2 linked regions of the Diceros bicornis minor genome follow. The protein of the gene in region 1 interacts with the protein of each later gene in a pairwise test. Links are inferred from orthologs where the notes say so. Each region holds a gene or a part of one and is shown on either strand. Other genes may lie near its edges.

The links. The genes of interacting proteins can lie anywhere in the genome.
Region 2: the proteins of RBFOX2 (region 1) and RBM42 interact in a two-hybrid assay, tested with the Homo sapiens proteins (2 studies listed by BioGRID and IntAct). The link is inferred for Diceros bicornis minor from reciprocal best matches to the Homo sapiens genes RBFOX2 and RBM42.

Annotation. Positions count from the first base shown.
Region 1 is NC_080764.1:13,676,317-13,684,042, forward strand, and holds the start of RBFOX2 (RNA binding protein fox-1 homolog 2), read left to right. Parts: upstream 1-4,642; 5' UTR 4,643-5,092; coding exon 5,093-5,278; intron 5,279-7,726. UniProt on the Homo sapiens protein: RNA-binding protein that regulates alternative splicing events by binding to 5'-UGCAUGU-3' elements. Prevents binding of U2AF2 to the 3'-splice site.
Region 2 is NC_080773.1:8,933,645-8,941,348, reverse strand, and holds the start of RBM42 (RNA-binding protein 42), read left to right. Parts: upstream 1-4,659; 5' UTR 4,660-4,752; coding exon 4,753-4,880; intron 4,881-5,119; coding exon 5,120-5,255; intron 5,256-6,546; coding exon 6,547-6,631; intron 6,632-6,733; coding exon 6,734-6,808; intron 6,809-7,704. UniProt on the Homo sapiens protein: Binds (via the RRM domain) to the 3'-untranslated region (UTR) of CDKN1A mRNA.

The DNA.
Region 1 (7,726 bases):
GAGAGGTCAAAGTCAATAGCGGGGTTTGTGTCAGAGCAGCTGGCTTTATAGTCCTAATGAGGCTTAAACATCACAGGGTCCTCTTTGGCTGAACTCAGTTTCTCATGGGGCTCTGTATCTGCTCCTGGATCAGCCAGCCACATGGCAGGAGTGGCTTCCACTTCCTCTGGCCGATGAATTATCAAGGGTATTCTCCGCCTTTCTTTTTTGGGAAAAGAAAGCTTTGGAGTAGAAAATGCTCTCTTCTATTTATATCTGCTCTTCTCTCGCTGATTAGAGAGATGATACATTTGGGGGAAGGACTCAGGCCCTGAATGCACTCTTCTTTATTTAGAAGAGGGCATGGTTAAGATAGCATTTCTAAGATCATCTGCTCTGCTCTGGGTCTTTATCTGTTCTTCCAGGGGCCATGAGAGATATAGGGTTGACTTTTTGAATATTTTCAGGATTGTTGGAATAGCCACATATTTTGTGTCAAGCTCTGTTCGCAATGTTAGGGAAACAGAAATTGAGTAAGGGATTAAGAAAGTGCTCATTTTCTCAAAGAGCTTATAGATACAAAGATTTGTACCACCAGCTTGTCTGATGGCTGCTGGTAACCAGAGTACTGGGTTAACAATGACTGGCTTTTGACTAGATCTGTCATAAGATCTATTATCTCCTAAGGTCCCATAATAGCCCTGTGGCTAGGTGCTCCAGCACCCACTCACCTCTCAGTCTCAGTTTGGGGACCACAGCTGGTCCTGACTCCAAACCCCGTGCTAGGGGTCTTTATCGGGGTTTCTCCTGGTGAACAGTGCTGAACTCCTCCTAAGCCCTCGCAGGCACACAAGAACTTGCTCACTTTTTATCAGAAACCATATCCTGGGAAACTCCCCCTCATTTTTAAAGACCCAGATCAAACATAACATTCTGGGTGAAGCTTGTCCTGTCTCCCTCCGGCACGGGGAGCTCCATCTTCCTATAGCTCCTATAGCTTGTGGCACATAGAATAGTCATATTAATAAACATAATAGGAGTAATAATAGTAGTAAAAAGGTCTAAGTTACCATTTATTGAGTGTGTCTATGAGCCAGGTGTCATGCTAAGTGCTTTGCATGCATTATTCAACGCTCAGAAGAACCCCAGGGGCCATACTATGATAATCCTCGGTTTACAGATTGTATCAGGCAGGAGTTGAGTTTGGCTGCATGTAGAAACCTGTCCACAGAGGCTTCACCAAATGGGAACTTATTTTGCTCAAATAACAATACATTAGAGGTAGACGGGCTAGGGCTGGTATGGTGGCTCCACAATACCATTCCTAGAACGTAGCTTTTGTTACTGTGGACACAAGACGTCTGCTGTTTTCCCAATCTGTGTTCCAGGAGGGAGGAAGGCTAGAGACAAAGGGCAAAGGATGAAGGGCAGAGTGCCTTTTCTTCTTGTGGTTTTGTCTTACTAGTTGGGAAGGAATGCTGTCCCCTACCTACATCTCACTGGCCAGAATGGGGTTACATAGCCACCCTTAGCTGCCAGGGAGCCCGAGAATTCTTTTTTTTTTCCCTCTTATTAAAGCTGGGCAGATTTGTGCCCTGAACAAAATTGGGGTTCTGCTAGTAAGGAATTAGAGGAGAATGGATACTACATTGGGAACTACCAGTGCTTGTCACACAAATGAAGAAACTGGGCCTTAGAATGCTAATGATCTTGTCCAAGGTCAGACAGATGGCCAAGTTAGACTCAAAACCATGTCTACTTGACACCAGATTCCATGCTCCTGTCCACTAAGAGAGATGACCTCCTGATCATGATGCATTACAATTGTCTTTTTATTTGATCATCCCTTCCCTAGACTGTGAGCTTCTCGGTGCTAGGAATCAATTTTATTCACCTTGGTACCCCAGACTGGTGCCCATGGTTTGTCAAATGGAGAAATGAATAAATGTTAGGACTTCAGTAGTTTCTGTAGCTAAAAATTCTTTCTAGGAAAATATTCAATTGTCCTCCTCCTCTGTGATGTTTTATAACCACCTGTTCCCAAACAGGTAGCTGCAGAAGTATGTGAAAGCAATGACCCTGATCTTTGTGCCATGGGCACATTTGGCCTCTTCTACTATTCATAGGCTTCTATGCTCTCTCTCCCTAAGTGCTTAAAGCTTGTTTACAGGGCAGGGTCCAGTTTTTCTTTGTTCTGCCTGGTCATTCAAACATTGCTATATCCCATCGCTCTATTTCTTAGGGACATGTGTGCTACTTGAGTAACAATAATTTGAGTCACAAGCAGTCCCGACCCCAAATATCATCTCTTGCTGGGTCATGGAGCAGCCCAAAAAGGACCAGTTGGATTCCAGTATTTTGGCAAGGCAGGTAGGGAGGAGAGGAGAATTCTTAAGACACTAGTTTGGAATGTAAAATTTTTAGAAAACCAACCACTGATGTCCTTAGGTTAAAAAAAAAAGTCATTGTTGTTCTGTAGGCCACCTGGAAAATCCTGATTTTTCTTCAAAGCCATGATGCTTGGTTGGACAGAATCAAGCCCATCTGCTGTGGGGTACTGCCCACAGGGACTCCTGACTTCAGCTGGGGCTGCCTAATTCAGCTGAAGAACAAGCTTGCAGGCACTTGGACTTCCAACTTACTGGCCCAAACAGCAGATTAAGAGATGCCTGGGCTTCTCTTTCCACTGCATTGCCCCCTAACCAGTAGCTTACTATCATTAAACACATTAGATGATAAATATTTACCACTTATTAAGCAGTTACTATATGTTAGGTGCTGTGCTAAGCGCTTTATTTTGTCCCATTTAATCCTTAGAACAATACTGTGACTATTATTGTCATCTTACCGACAAGGAATATAAGGCTTAGTGAAAATAAATGATTTGCCCCACATAGTGGTTGCAGCAAAGGGTGACTTGGGGAGCTTTGTCTGCCCATCCTAATCTCTAGCAGCCCCACAGAAGCCACCTTATGTAATTCAAAAACCCAATAGTAGTGATAATGATATTCTTAGATATCCTCAAACAATCCTTTCAGGAAAGTACTATTATTATCCTAATTTTCAGATGAAGAAACTGAGGCATAGAGAGGCTAAGTAGCTTTCACAAGGCACCATGACTTGTAAGCGGCAGAGCTAAAACTTGGCTATTTTTATTGATCTATAACACAGCCTAGGTAAAAACAGCGTGCTCACTATGAAAACTCAGCTTCAAGACAAATCCTCTTGTCTTCCTTTCCAACTAGCCTGCAGGCCCTAAACCCCTTCTATATAGAAATTCCTAACTCATCACTGGTCCAACATCACATAGCAGGTGGTAAAGCTTGGATTCAAACCTGGCTTGGTCTGACTCCAAAGCAGGGATCTTTACCACTGTACTGTTCCAGCACCAGTCAGGTTAAATCCAAGTTCAAAAGACAAATTGTTGACCCATCTGGAAATGGCCCTAGAAATCATCTAACCCAGGGTTTCTCAACCTCAGCACTATTGACATTTGGGGCTGGATAACTGTTGTGGGGACTGCCCTGTTCATCACAGGCTAGTGAACAACATTTCTGGCCTCTACCCACTAGATGCTGGCAGCAACCTCCAGCCTGGAGACATTTTTGGGGGGAGAGGGAGAGGGAAGGGGGCAAAATCATCCCTGGTAGTGAACCACTGATCTGAACCATCTCCTCATTTTTCAAATGATGCAGCAGGGGTTCAAAGAGATGAAGTAACTCGTGTAAGCTAGTTAGTAGAACCCAAGTGGCTCATGCAACATCATATCTCCCTATAAAGTACAGGGAACAATGCGGAACCCAGAGAAAACAGATGCCCTCTTGGTCCTTACAGTCTGGTAGGAGACAGAAGCTATTACACGAACATCTCTACTTGCATGAAGTTGATAAGCTGTACAGGCAGCAAGATGTAGAGAAAAAGAATATGATCTGGTGTCCTGAGATCTGGATCTGCCACTTTTCAGCTGCCGGACTTAACTAAGCTTCAGGTACATCATTAGTGAAACGGAGACCCTGGTATCTATACCATCAGCTTCAAAACGGGTCTGTGAACGCACTGTGTAAACCGTAAAGCTCCTACAAACATCAGGTATTATTAAGATGATCAGGAATGTGATGATAATAATAATTATGATTAGAGTAAAAGCTTTCAGAAATGAGGAGAGCCATGTAGTGGTGGCTTCATTCCTGGACCTTCCAACCGGAGATCCCCATTCTTCTGCGGGAGAAGGAACAGGCAGAGTTCCCTCCCACAGAGAGCCTCTTCCTTCGCCTGAAACCAACGTGGCCCTTGAACTCCGTACAACTCTGCCACCCTGCCCTCAGGCCTCTCAAGCTCCGCCCGCCGCAGGCTGCGGCCCCGCCCTTAAAGGAAACAGACCCCGCCCCCTCCGCGCTGGCTGGAACTCCGGCGGCGCCAGGCCTCCAAGACAATCCGTCGCCCGTGCCGGAGATTCCCGAACTCTCCCGATCTCTTCCCGGCCTCTTTCGGGCGCCCGGAGCGGAGGCGGCGGAGATGGCCGAGGGGCGCTGGCCCCGCCCCCTCACTCCCCCTCCCGCCCCGCCACCGCCTCCGGCGCGGGCTGGAGTCCCAGATCCCGGTCCCTCCCTCGTCCTTTCTCTCTCCCCGCCTTCCCGGTGCTGCCAGAGTGGCGGGTCGGAGGATCCCGGCCAGTCAGCTCGGTCCTGCCTCGGGCCCCTCCTCCCCCCACATCAACACCCCTCCCCACGCCTCGGGAGCGGGACCGCCCCCTTCCTCCCTCGGCCGGCGTGGGGTGAGGGCCGGTGTGAGGGAGCCAGCGCGGGCGGGCGGGCTCCGTGAGGGCGAGAGGCGGGGCGCGCGGCGGGCGGGCCGGGGGCCGCGTGTGCGCGTGGGGCGCGAGCGAGAGCCCGTCGCGACCCGCCGGCGGCCCGGAGCCGAGGAGCCGGCGAGCGACGAGCGGCGACCGCCGAGCGCGGAGGGGCGCCGGGCCCGCGCGCGCGCGCACGCACGCACGCAGGCGGGGGCGGGGGCAGGCGCGCGGCCGCCTGTCGCGACAGTCGGGGCCGAGGCCCAGGGGGAGGTGGCCTGTCGCGGGTCGCCCGGCTCCCGGAGGCGAGGGGGGCGCGGGCGGATGGCGGAAGGCGCCCAGCCGCAGCAGCCGCCTCAGCTCGGGCCCGGCGCCGCTGCCCGGGGGATGAAGCGGGAGTCGGAGCTGGAGCTGCCGGCGCCCGGAGCGGGAGGAGACGGAGCCGAGCCCGGCCTGAGCAAGCGGCCGCGCACCGAGGAGGCGGCGGCCGACGGCGGCGGCGGGATGCAGGTGACCGCGGGGGTGCGGCCGGGGCCGTGAGGGTGGCGCGGGGCTCCGGGGCTGGACGGGGGCGGGCTTCCCGGGGTCCCGGCTCGGAGGTGGGAGGGGCGGGTCGGGGCCTGGTTGGGAGGTGGGGCGCCCTCCGGCGTGGAGGCAGAGGGTGCAGGGACCCCGGTGTGCCCGCCAGGGTCCTGATTCCAGAGAGGACGAGGGGCACGACGCGTGACTGGGTTTTGGGGGGAAATCGAACATGGTTGAGATGGATTCCATTTGTCCCAACCCTTCCTGGGTTACTTGGCGGGGAGTGGAAGCCGGGAGATCCTGGGTCTGTTGCCCAGAGAGGCGCGGGACTGAGTGGAGGACGGGGGGACAGTGGTGGGAAACCTCCCAAGAAGGAGGAGTACCTTTGGCACTCTCGACACCCGCTGGCATGGGGAAGGAGCGGCATATAAAGGAGAGGCGTGGAAAGCGAGAAAACTCCTCGAGAGCCCAAAGGGGATGTGGCTTAGATTGTGGGTTAAATTAGTTACAGAGGAGGGTGGGAAGTACAAGGAGTTGGGTAGTGCTGTGGGGACACCGTGGTGCTCGGTCTCATTAACTTTATGGAGCCTGCTAATGAGTCTGAAGAGAGACACAGAACATGCCCCTCCTGTACTGTGCCAGTTGTATCTTAGCCCAGCTCTTTAATGTCCTGGGGTGTAAAAGAAAATTTATAGGGCTGTTAGAGGACTGGATTCTGAGTCGTGAACCCAAGCATGATCTGGTTGATTGGGCAGGGAATGGGAAACGGAGTTATGATGTCAGTTGACTTTGTAGTTTGAGGAAGAGCGTGAAACCTTTGTAGATTTTAGGATTTGATCTCTGTTCAGAAAATACTTGCTATGAAGTGGTGGGGCTCACCTACCAGCAATTGTGTAGACATCTGCCTAATTCTTCAAATCAGAGAATGTTAGAGACAGAAGAGACCAGAGACCTCATCTTTTCCAGGGGTTCTTAGCCTGGATAGACTTGGAAGATTCTTGTGCAAAAATAGTTTACGTGCACTTTTTGGTGGGGGAAAGGCAAGAGTTGTCATCATCTTTTTGGTTTGTTTTTGGAGGGGATTCAAGTCCCCAAATGTTTTAACCACCTCCTTTTTTAGAGGGGGAATGCAAAGTCCAGAGAAGACTAGTGACTTGCCAAAGACTACCCAGTGAGCTGGTAGTAAAACTAGAACTAGAAGCCGAGTCTTCTAATTCCTACTCCTGTGCTCTCTCCATTACACCGCTCTTGGAAATCTCTGCAGCGCTAAAAGACTTCCTGTGCTCTGCTCCCTGCTCTGGAAGGCTCTGCCTGACTTCCTGTGTTAGAGAGGGAGCTCTATGGAAGCCTGGCATGTTTGCTGTGTTCTTCTTGGTCTCCTGGCAGAGGCCACTCTGTTACTTGTGTTGATTTGGGTAAAGTGACCCTCTTGGTGTTTATTTTTGAATTCTTTTGTTTTGTTGGCCTGCTTTTGTTCTCCATTAGAACTCTGTCAGACAGAGGGATTGTGAGAAGTAAAACTCAGGGCCATGGAGAAAAGAGAGAGAATATGGGGAGACTTCAGGTGAGGTGGGTTAACATTGGATGATAAGGAGAGAAGAGTGGATGTGGGTGCTAGTGAGCATGTTCCGCTTGGCGTGTGCATATATATCTATGTGTTCATGTATTGTTTCTGTCAATCATGGTTAATAGTGAGACTCTGCCTCTCTTACCCCCCTCTTTCCTCCTGGGGCCCATTATTTGCTGGTTGCCTTCAAATTGGCTAAGGATAGTACTATTTGGAAATGGAGCAGTGTATGGGGACTTTGGAGTATGCAGAGGAAGGAGTGGATTAGGTCCTTTGGGTACAAATGGGCAACTTAGAACTATCCCACAGAGAATCCTTTTTTCACTCTGTGTTTTTGGGGATCTTTATTTATTTTTCACTTTGTGCATTCTCATTGTCGCAGTTCTAACGCTCCATGTCACACAGGTATTCAAATCATCATTGATTTAGCCCCCTGCCTTCAACTAGCTGTATGTTTCTGGGAAAATCCCTTCTTTTTGGGCTTCTGCTTCCTTAGTTGTAAAATAAAGTTTGTACAGGATGATTTCTAAGTTACCTTCTAAAAAATACGTCAAGTTCCCTGACCTTAAGGTACTTGGTGCTTACAATCTAGGTGGCCAGACAAAAGGGTGAAAAGTTAAAAAAGGTGTGTGTGTGTGTATATATATATGTGATTTTTTTTGTAAGTTCCAGAGGAAGAGGAGAGGAGATACCACAGGGTAGATGCATGTCACAAGGCATTGCATAATTTAGAGCCAAAGTATGCAGAGGACTTGTGCCACGGAGTCCAGAAGAAGGAGGTGGAGGGGCCGGCCCAGAGGCGTAGTGTTTTAAGTTTGTGCGCTCCGCTTCGGGAGCCCAGGGTTCGCAGGTTCGAATCCTGGGCATGG
Region 2 (7,704 bases), on another chromosome or scaffold:
CATAGAAAAATGGGCAAAATATATGAATGGGAAATTCTCAGAAAATGTGCTCATACTCAATCATAATAAGAGAAAAGCAAATTAAAACCACACTTGGATACATTTCCCATCTATCAGACTGGGAAAAAGGACACCCAGAATTTTGGCAGCTCACTGTTGGCAAGGCTATGGGAAGAGAGCACTCTGTTACATCAGTGGGCATGCAATATGGAACAACACCCCGGGACCATCTCCAGCCAAGCTGCATGTGCATTTCCTCTTTGCCCAAACAATCCCACTTTTAGGACTCTATCCCAAAGACATGCTGGGTGAAATACAAGTTGTGGGACCTTGTACAAAAAACAACTAGACCGTGTTCTTCAGAAGGTGAATGCCGGGAGGGTGGGGACTGTTTTAGATTACAAGAGACAACCAAATGCCATGCAGGGTCTTGATTGAATCGTGGATTTTTTAAAAAGTGTTTGAAAGTACATTATTGGGACAACTGGGGAAATTTGTATATTGGGGGATATTACTGTATCTTTGTTAAATTTCTTTGGTGGGAGAATGGCATTGTGGTTAGGTGGGAAAATGTTCTTGGAGGGTGTGTGTTGAAATATTAAGGGTGATATCTGCAGCTTACTTTCAGAGAGTTCAGGATGAGAGAGAATAAGGTAGAAGGGGCACGGATGGAAGCCAGACATCTCTGAATGTACATGGTTTCATACTTTTGACTGTGGAAACATCTATTTTTCATAATTTAAAAAAATGAGAAAAAGAAAGAAATCCCTAAAAATTCAAAACAAGCTGAAACAAATGAACCTAACTCTATATGAAGTTGGTGGCACAATTGTTTCAGATAAGAATTTTTTCAGATGATATTAACACACAATCCTTTCATTCGATGCCTCTAGTGGCACATATATCCTAAGAGAAAAAGAACTGCAATAAAATCTTAAACTGCATGCAGCAGTCTTGTTTGTAATAATATTGGTATTTTATTTTGATAAAAATATATAGTTTAAAATTGAGAGCTTACATTATATATTTTGAAATTATATATTAGACTAAAGCAAATAAGTGGTTTAGCTCGTGTTACTGGAGACCAATATTTTTAATGTAAATGAAAAGAGATACAGATACAAAATCAAAGAAGGAAACACCCTATAATCTTTCATTTGAATGAGAAATATCAGAATGAACTTATGGGTTTTTGTCTTTCTAAAAAATATATATTCCCCGGGGCTGGCCTGGTGGCATAGTGGTTAGGTTTGCGTGCTCAGATCCCAGGCATGGACTTAACGCGCTGCTCATCAAGCTATGCTGTGGTGGCATCCCATATATAAAGTAGAGGAAAATGGGCACAGATATTACCTCAGAGACAATCTTCCTCAAGCAAAAAGAGGAGGATTGACAACAGATGCTAGCTCAGGGCCAATCTTCCTCACCAAAAAAAATATATATATATATTTGCCTAGCTAAGTCCACAGAAAAGGTCTAGATAGAATGACAACCCAGTAACAATGAGTAACCCCAATGCCCAGATTGTGGTCTCTAAATACTACTTCTGACTAGAAGGAATCAGGGATCCTTGGGACAATAGCTGATTCCAGATCTAGGGCAGGACATGTGCAAAATGAGCATGGGGCATCTTGTGCCAGAAAGCTAGGAAGTCCCCCAAGACTACTGGGATTGAGTCAAAGGACTCAGGAGTCAATGTGAAGAGACTGCCACTGGCTAAATATGGGACATTTTGAGCAGCAATAAGAATGACAGCAATGATTTGAAGCACATAAATATGTTTGAAAATGTACATTTATATTGATACTTATACAAACATACCTCATTGGTCACCTTTGAAGGGTGCTAGGAACCAATTCACTATTTTGAAAAGTTTTTTTTCACAAAATAGGGAAAGAATCAAGCATGTTCTCTGTCTTGTACGTAAACAAGTAACCAAATTCCTGATGAGGAGGAAGTTATTTACAAAAGAATCACTAATAATTGCAGAGAGAATGATAAAATTTGAAAACTACTATTTTCCATACATTAATGAAGTAATGGATACAGATCATGATCAAGGGCTGCTAAAACTATTCATGGAAAGGTTGATTGGCCTTCTTCCAATGGATGGAACAGGATGACAAGGCTGATCAATTTTGGCATTGCCAAAGGAGGACAACTAGACATCAGGTGCTCCTGATGGGATATAATAGGATACAATGGGATATGTTACAACAGCACTACCTACAAAGTCTCCTTTCACCAAATTAAACGTAAATTGAATCCAGCTTCTAGCTGTCACTACAATATATAAGAAAGGGGGAGGGGCCAATGAGGAACAAGTGAAACAATGTAACTAAATCCAAAATGTGAGACATCCTATAGGACAATTGATCCAGTTTCTTCAACAAATAGAAGGCAAAAAAGGGGGCAGGGAGGAGAAAGAAAGGAAGGAAAGAGGGAGGGAGGGAGGGAGAAAGGAAGAAAAAGATAGGGGAAGGGAAATTTATAGATTAAAAAAGACTTAAGATTTTAAAGCTGGAACAATTTGAGGAACAAAATAACTAAAGTAGTATTGGATTATAACCCTAAGTATAAGATATCCATGAATCTATACTCATATAAATGACTTAATAATTAAATAAAGGGGTGAGAATAGGTAAATCCCCTGTGCAGAAGAATTCCAAATAATTTATGTAGATACTCCACTCTCAAGAAGGTGGAGCTTAACTCCTCACCCCTTAAGTGTGGGCTGTGCATAATGACTTCCTTCCAAAGAGCATGAAAAAGGAGTAAAACAAAAGTAACTTTATAGTGGAGAAACCTGACAAATGCTACCTTAGCCAGGAGATCAAAGTTAACATCAACAGTGGTAAGTCATGTTGATAGTATGTACCCTTGATATGATATGATGAGAATTGCACTTTACCTCTATAGTCTTCTCCCCAAAATATCCATAACCCCCAGTCTAATGATGAGAAAAACATCAGACAGATCCCGAATGAGGAACAGTCTACAAAATACCTGACCAGTACTCCTCAAAACTGTCAAATTCATGAAAAACAAGGAAAGTGTGAGAAATTGTCACAAGCAAGAGTAGCCTAAGGAAACATGACAACTAAATGTAATGTGGTATCCTGGATGGAGTGCTCAGACAGAAAAGAGAGAATAGGTAAACACTAAGGAAATCTGAATAATGTATGGTCTCTAGCTAATAATAATGTTGGGAAAAAAAAGGCTTCCTATTCTCTTATCACATCTCTAGCACAGAAGCAAACAAAAGCCAGTATTTAACAAGCATTCATTCATGCTGATTCAGACTGGGACCTCAAGAAACCAAGTCACCCAATAAAATTAAGCTTTAACAGGAAAAATAAAAACCGACCAACCAACCAAATGCAATGTGTGGACCTTATTTGGATCCTGATTTTACAATACCAGTACTATTGTATAAAGACATTTTTTTTTAATAATTTTATTTATTTTCCCCCAAAGCCCCAGTAGATAGCTGTAGTCATAGTTGCACATCCTTCTAGTTGCTGTATGTGGGACACAGCCTCAGCATGGCTGGAGAAGCAGTGCGTCGGTGCGTGCCCGGGATCTGAACCCCGGCCACCAGTAGCGGAGCGCGCAGACTTAACCACTAAGCCACGGGGGCCAGCCCTATAAAGACATTTTGAAGCAGGGAAAATTGAACACAGCCTGAGTGTTAGATGATACTAAGAAATTAATTTTCTTGGATGTAAAAATGCTGTTTTTGCTTTTAAATAGTCCTTATCTGTTAGAGAGACATCATGAAGCATTTATGGGTGAATTGATAGATGTCCGGAATTTGCTTTACTATACTCCAGCAAAAAAATAAAAATAAGTATAGATGAAACAAGAAGGGTAGAACATTAGTAATTGTTGAGAGGTACATGGAGGTTCGTTATATTATTCTCTCCACTATTGTATTTTTTTAAATACTCATAATAAAACATTTTGAGGACTACAAAACAAAGGAGGGGTCAGCTATGTCCCAAGAAAGAGCGCAGAGACCAAACCGACACACGTGACCTTCTGAGCTGACGCATTTGACTACTGTCTCTCGGCCTTTGCATGAACTATTCCTCCTACCCCGAGTCTCTCCCCCTATTTTCATCCAGCAAGTTTTGAGTTGTCACCTCCTCCAGGAAGCCTGGATAATGCGCCGCCTCTGAGCTTCCCACATCATGTCCCCGATCTTTCTGGGAGTTACTGTCTGGTAGCTGTCTGTCTGCCCCAGAGTGGAGCGCACGGCCCCCAACTGTCTCCCGCCTCGCCCAGCTCTGAGCTGATGAGCACTTCTGTGTGTTTTAAAACTCCCCGAACGGGCCTCGCGGTAGCACGGCAGTGGCCTCCGAACCTTCCTGAGCTCTCAAACGTCCGGGTTCCCCTTTAGAGACCGGGCCAATAGCCTGTACGGCACTCTTATTAGCCTAGGTTCCTCCTTGAAGGCGTGGCCGCCTTGCTTAGACGCACTCTCATAGCCCCAGGTTCTTCCATTGGCTCGTTTTTCCAGCACTCTGATTGGCCTATATTCTTCTCTGCGGGGGGCTCTCTGGATTCTCATTGGCCCGCTCTCCAAAGGCCCTCCCCCCGTTGGCGTATGATGTAGTGCTCCGGCGCCCTCGCTTTCGCCGCTACGTCATCCGCGGGCGTCCACCTTGACGAAGGCAGAGAGTAGACAGCGGAACCGGCGGAGGAGGCTGAGCCGAGGCGGTAGTAGCGGCGACAGCGACGGCAGCAGCGATGGCCGGGGCGGGGCCAGCCCCGGGGCTCCCGGGTGCGGGAGGACCTGTGGTCCCGGGCCCTGGCGCCGGCATCCCGGGCAAGAGCGGCGAGGAACGCTTGAAGGAAATGGAGGCGGAGATGGCCCTGTAAGGCCCGCGACAAGGCGCGATAAAAGCCGTCCCGGAGCCAGAGCCGCCGAGCCCTGGAGCTTCCAGGCCGCGATAGGCCCGACATCTGGCTCTGTCATGGGGAAATGGGTCCTTCCGGACTGTGGGGGCGGGAGTGAGAAGGAGAGGTTGGCGGGGCTGCAGGCGCATCGCGATGTACCCAGCGTTCCAGAATTGGTGCAGGGTCCTGAGCTGTGGTGTCTGTCCTGCTCCCCCAGGTTTGAGCAGGAAGTTCTGGGGGCTCCGGTAACCGGAATCCCGACTGCGGTGCCCACGGTCCCCACGGTAGAAGCGATGCAGGTCCCAGCAGCTCCTGTGATCCGCCCGATTATCGCGACCAACACATACCAGCAGGTACGGCCGAGCTAAGGCATGTAAGTCAGAGAGCACAAGGCTTCGAACACGGGAAGTGTTTGTACACGGAGAGCTGTTGACATGTTGGCTTGTTGATTAATTAGCGTGACAAATATTTTATGTGCCACGCACCGAAAATACAGTAATGACTAAGACAGACCATATTTCTGCCCTGTTGGTGCTTGTATTCTGGAGCATGTTGTCCCGTAGAACTTTCTGCAATGATGGAAATGTTCTGTGTCTATTTAAAAGTTACATTTAAGTTAAATAGTTACTCAGTCTCATTAGTCACGTTCAAGTGCTCAATAGCTAGCTGTATATCATTAGTGGAGAGAAACTACTTAAGAAAACAAGTAAATGAAACTTGTTCATTCTGTCGACAAATAATTATTGCCTTCTATGCACCAGGCACTCTTCTAGGTATTAGGCGTATAGCAAAGAACAAAACAGAAGAAAACAATCACTACCTTTCTGGAGTTTACGTTTTACTAGGGAGACACAGGTCAAAGTAAAGCAAGAAGAGCAGAGGTTTATCAGCGCCATCAGGGAAGCCTTTCTGAGGAGGTGATATTTAAGCAAAGATATAAAGGACATGATGGAACCATGGAGATATCTGGGGGAAGCGCATTCCCAGGAGAGAGAACTGCCAGTGCAAGGCCCATGAGGCAGGTGCATCCCTCACATGTGGAAGGAACAGCAGGGAGAACAGCATGGCTGGAGTGGAGTGAGCAAGGGGGAGAGTGGGAGGAGGTGAGGACAGAGAGGTGATAGAGACCAGATCTCGTAGGGCCTTGTGGACCACCATAAGGACCTTGGTTTTTACTCTGAGATGGGAAACTGTTGAAGGATTCTGAGTAGAGGGGTGATATGGTCCAACTCAGATGTTAATAGAGTCGCTCTGGCTGTGTTTGGAGAGCAGACTCTGGGGGCAAGAGCAGGATCAAGGAGACTGAGGAAGAGGCTACCATAATCTAGGCAAAAGATCTAGAGTGGTGGCATGGGAGGTGGAGAGGACAGGCTGGACATAATTTCAGGTACTGCTAAGTGCTTTGGAGAGATAAAGCAGGATGATGAGAGAAGTTTCTACTGGGAGGGACTAAGGACAGCTTTAGCTAGGGTGATCCCAAAAGCGTCCCTGAAAAGTGGCATTTTAGCTAAGACCTAAAGGTTGACAGCTAGCCAGCTCCACACAGAGTGCAAAGAATGAAAACCTGTGCCCTCCGAGGGTGAGTCAGCCAGGGCAGCGTGGGGACACTGAGTCAGGCCCCTCACCCAGCCTCCTCCCCAACAGGTCCAACAGACTCTGGAGGCCCGGGCAGCAGCTGCAGCCACTGTGGTTCCTCCCATGGTGGGTGGTCCTCCTTTTGTGGGCCCAGGTAAGTAAGGAGTGGTGGGGTGAGGGAGCCAGGGGATGAGGCGGGTGGTGAAAAGGGATGCCCGGACTCCTCCCACCGTCCTCATCTCTCCCCTCCCAACAGTTGGCTTTGGCCCTGGTGATCGGAGTCACCTGGACAGTCCAGAGGCTCGAGAAGCCATGTTCCTGCGGCGAGCAGGTAGGTCTGGGGCGAGGGAACTTCACATCTAACCAAGCACTCTTGTTTCGACTACTTCAGCCTCTTGCCTAGATCATTGCTGTAACTCACCCTCTTTATTTCATCCCCACCCTGATATTGTCATCTTCCTAAAGCACAAACCTGATCATGTACTTCATCAGTTTGGCTTTAGTGAGGCTTAACCTGGTCATTGCAAACCAACCTCCTTCCTGTCCCTCCTAGTCCCTACCCTTTGCCATGTTTCTCCATAGCACTTAATACCTTATAACAAGCTATACAGTTTACGTATTTGTTGTGGTTATCATCCTTTGTTTCCTTTATTTTTTTTTTTTTTGTGAGGAAGATCAGCCCTGAGCTAACATCCATACTAATCCTCTTTTTGCTGAGGAAGACCGTCTCTGAGCTAACATCTATTGCCAATCCTCCTCCTTTTTTTTTCCCGCCAAAGACCCAGCAGATAGTTGCCAAAGCCCCAGCAGATAGTTGCACGTCATAGTTGCACATCCTTCTAGTTGCTGTATGTGGGACGCAGCCTCAGCATGGCCAGAGAAGCGCTGCGCCGGTGCGCGCCCGGGGTCCGAACCCGGGCCACCAGTAGGGGAGGGCGCACACTTAACCGCTAAGCCACAGGGCTGGCCCCTTTGCTTCCTTTAAAACATAAGTTCCATGAGGGGCTGAAGTCTTGGTGCCTGCCCCATAGTAAGCATTACTTGCTCTCTGTTGATGGGATGAACAAACCATTGAGCAAGCGCCCAGCTCCTCACCTGGCAGTCAGGACCGTGCCTCTCCTGGCCCCTTGCAGAGAGAGAGATCCCCACGCACCCTAAACGTTGCTGGGGTGTGCCAGCAGTGCTCTTGTTGAGGGCCCTTCTCTCCCCTGCTGACTATCACCAACT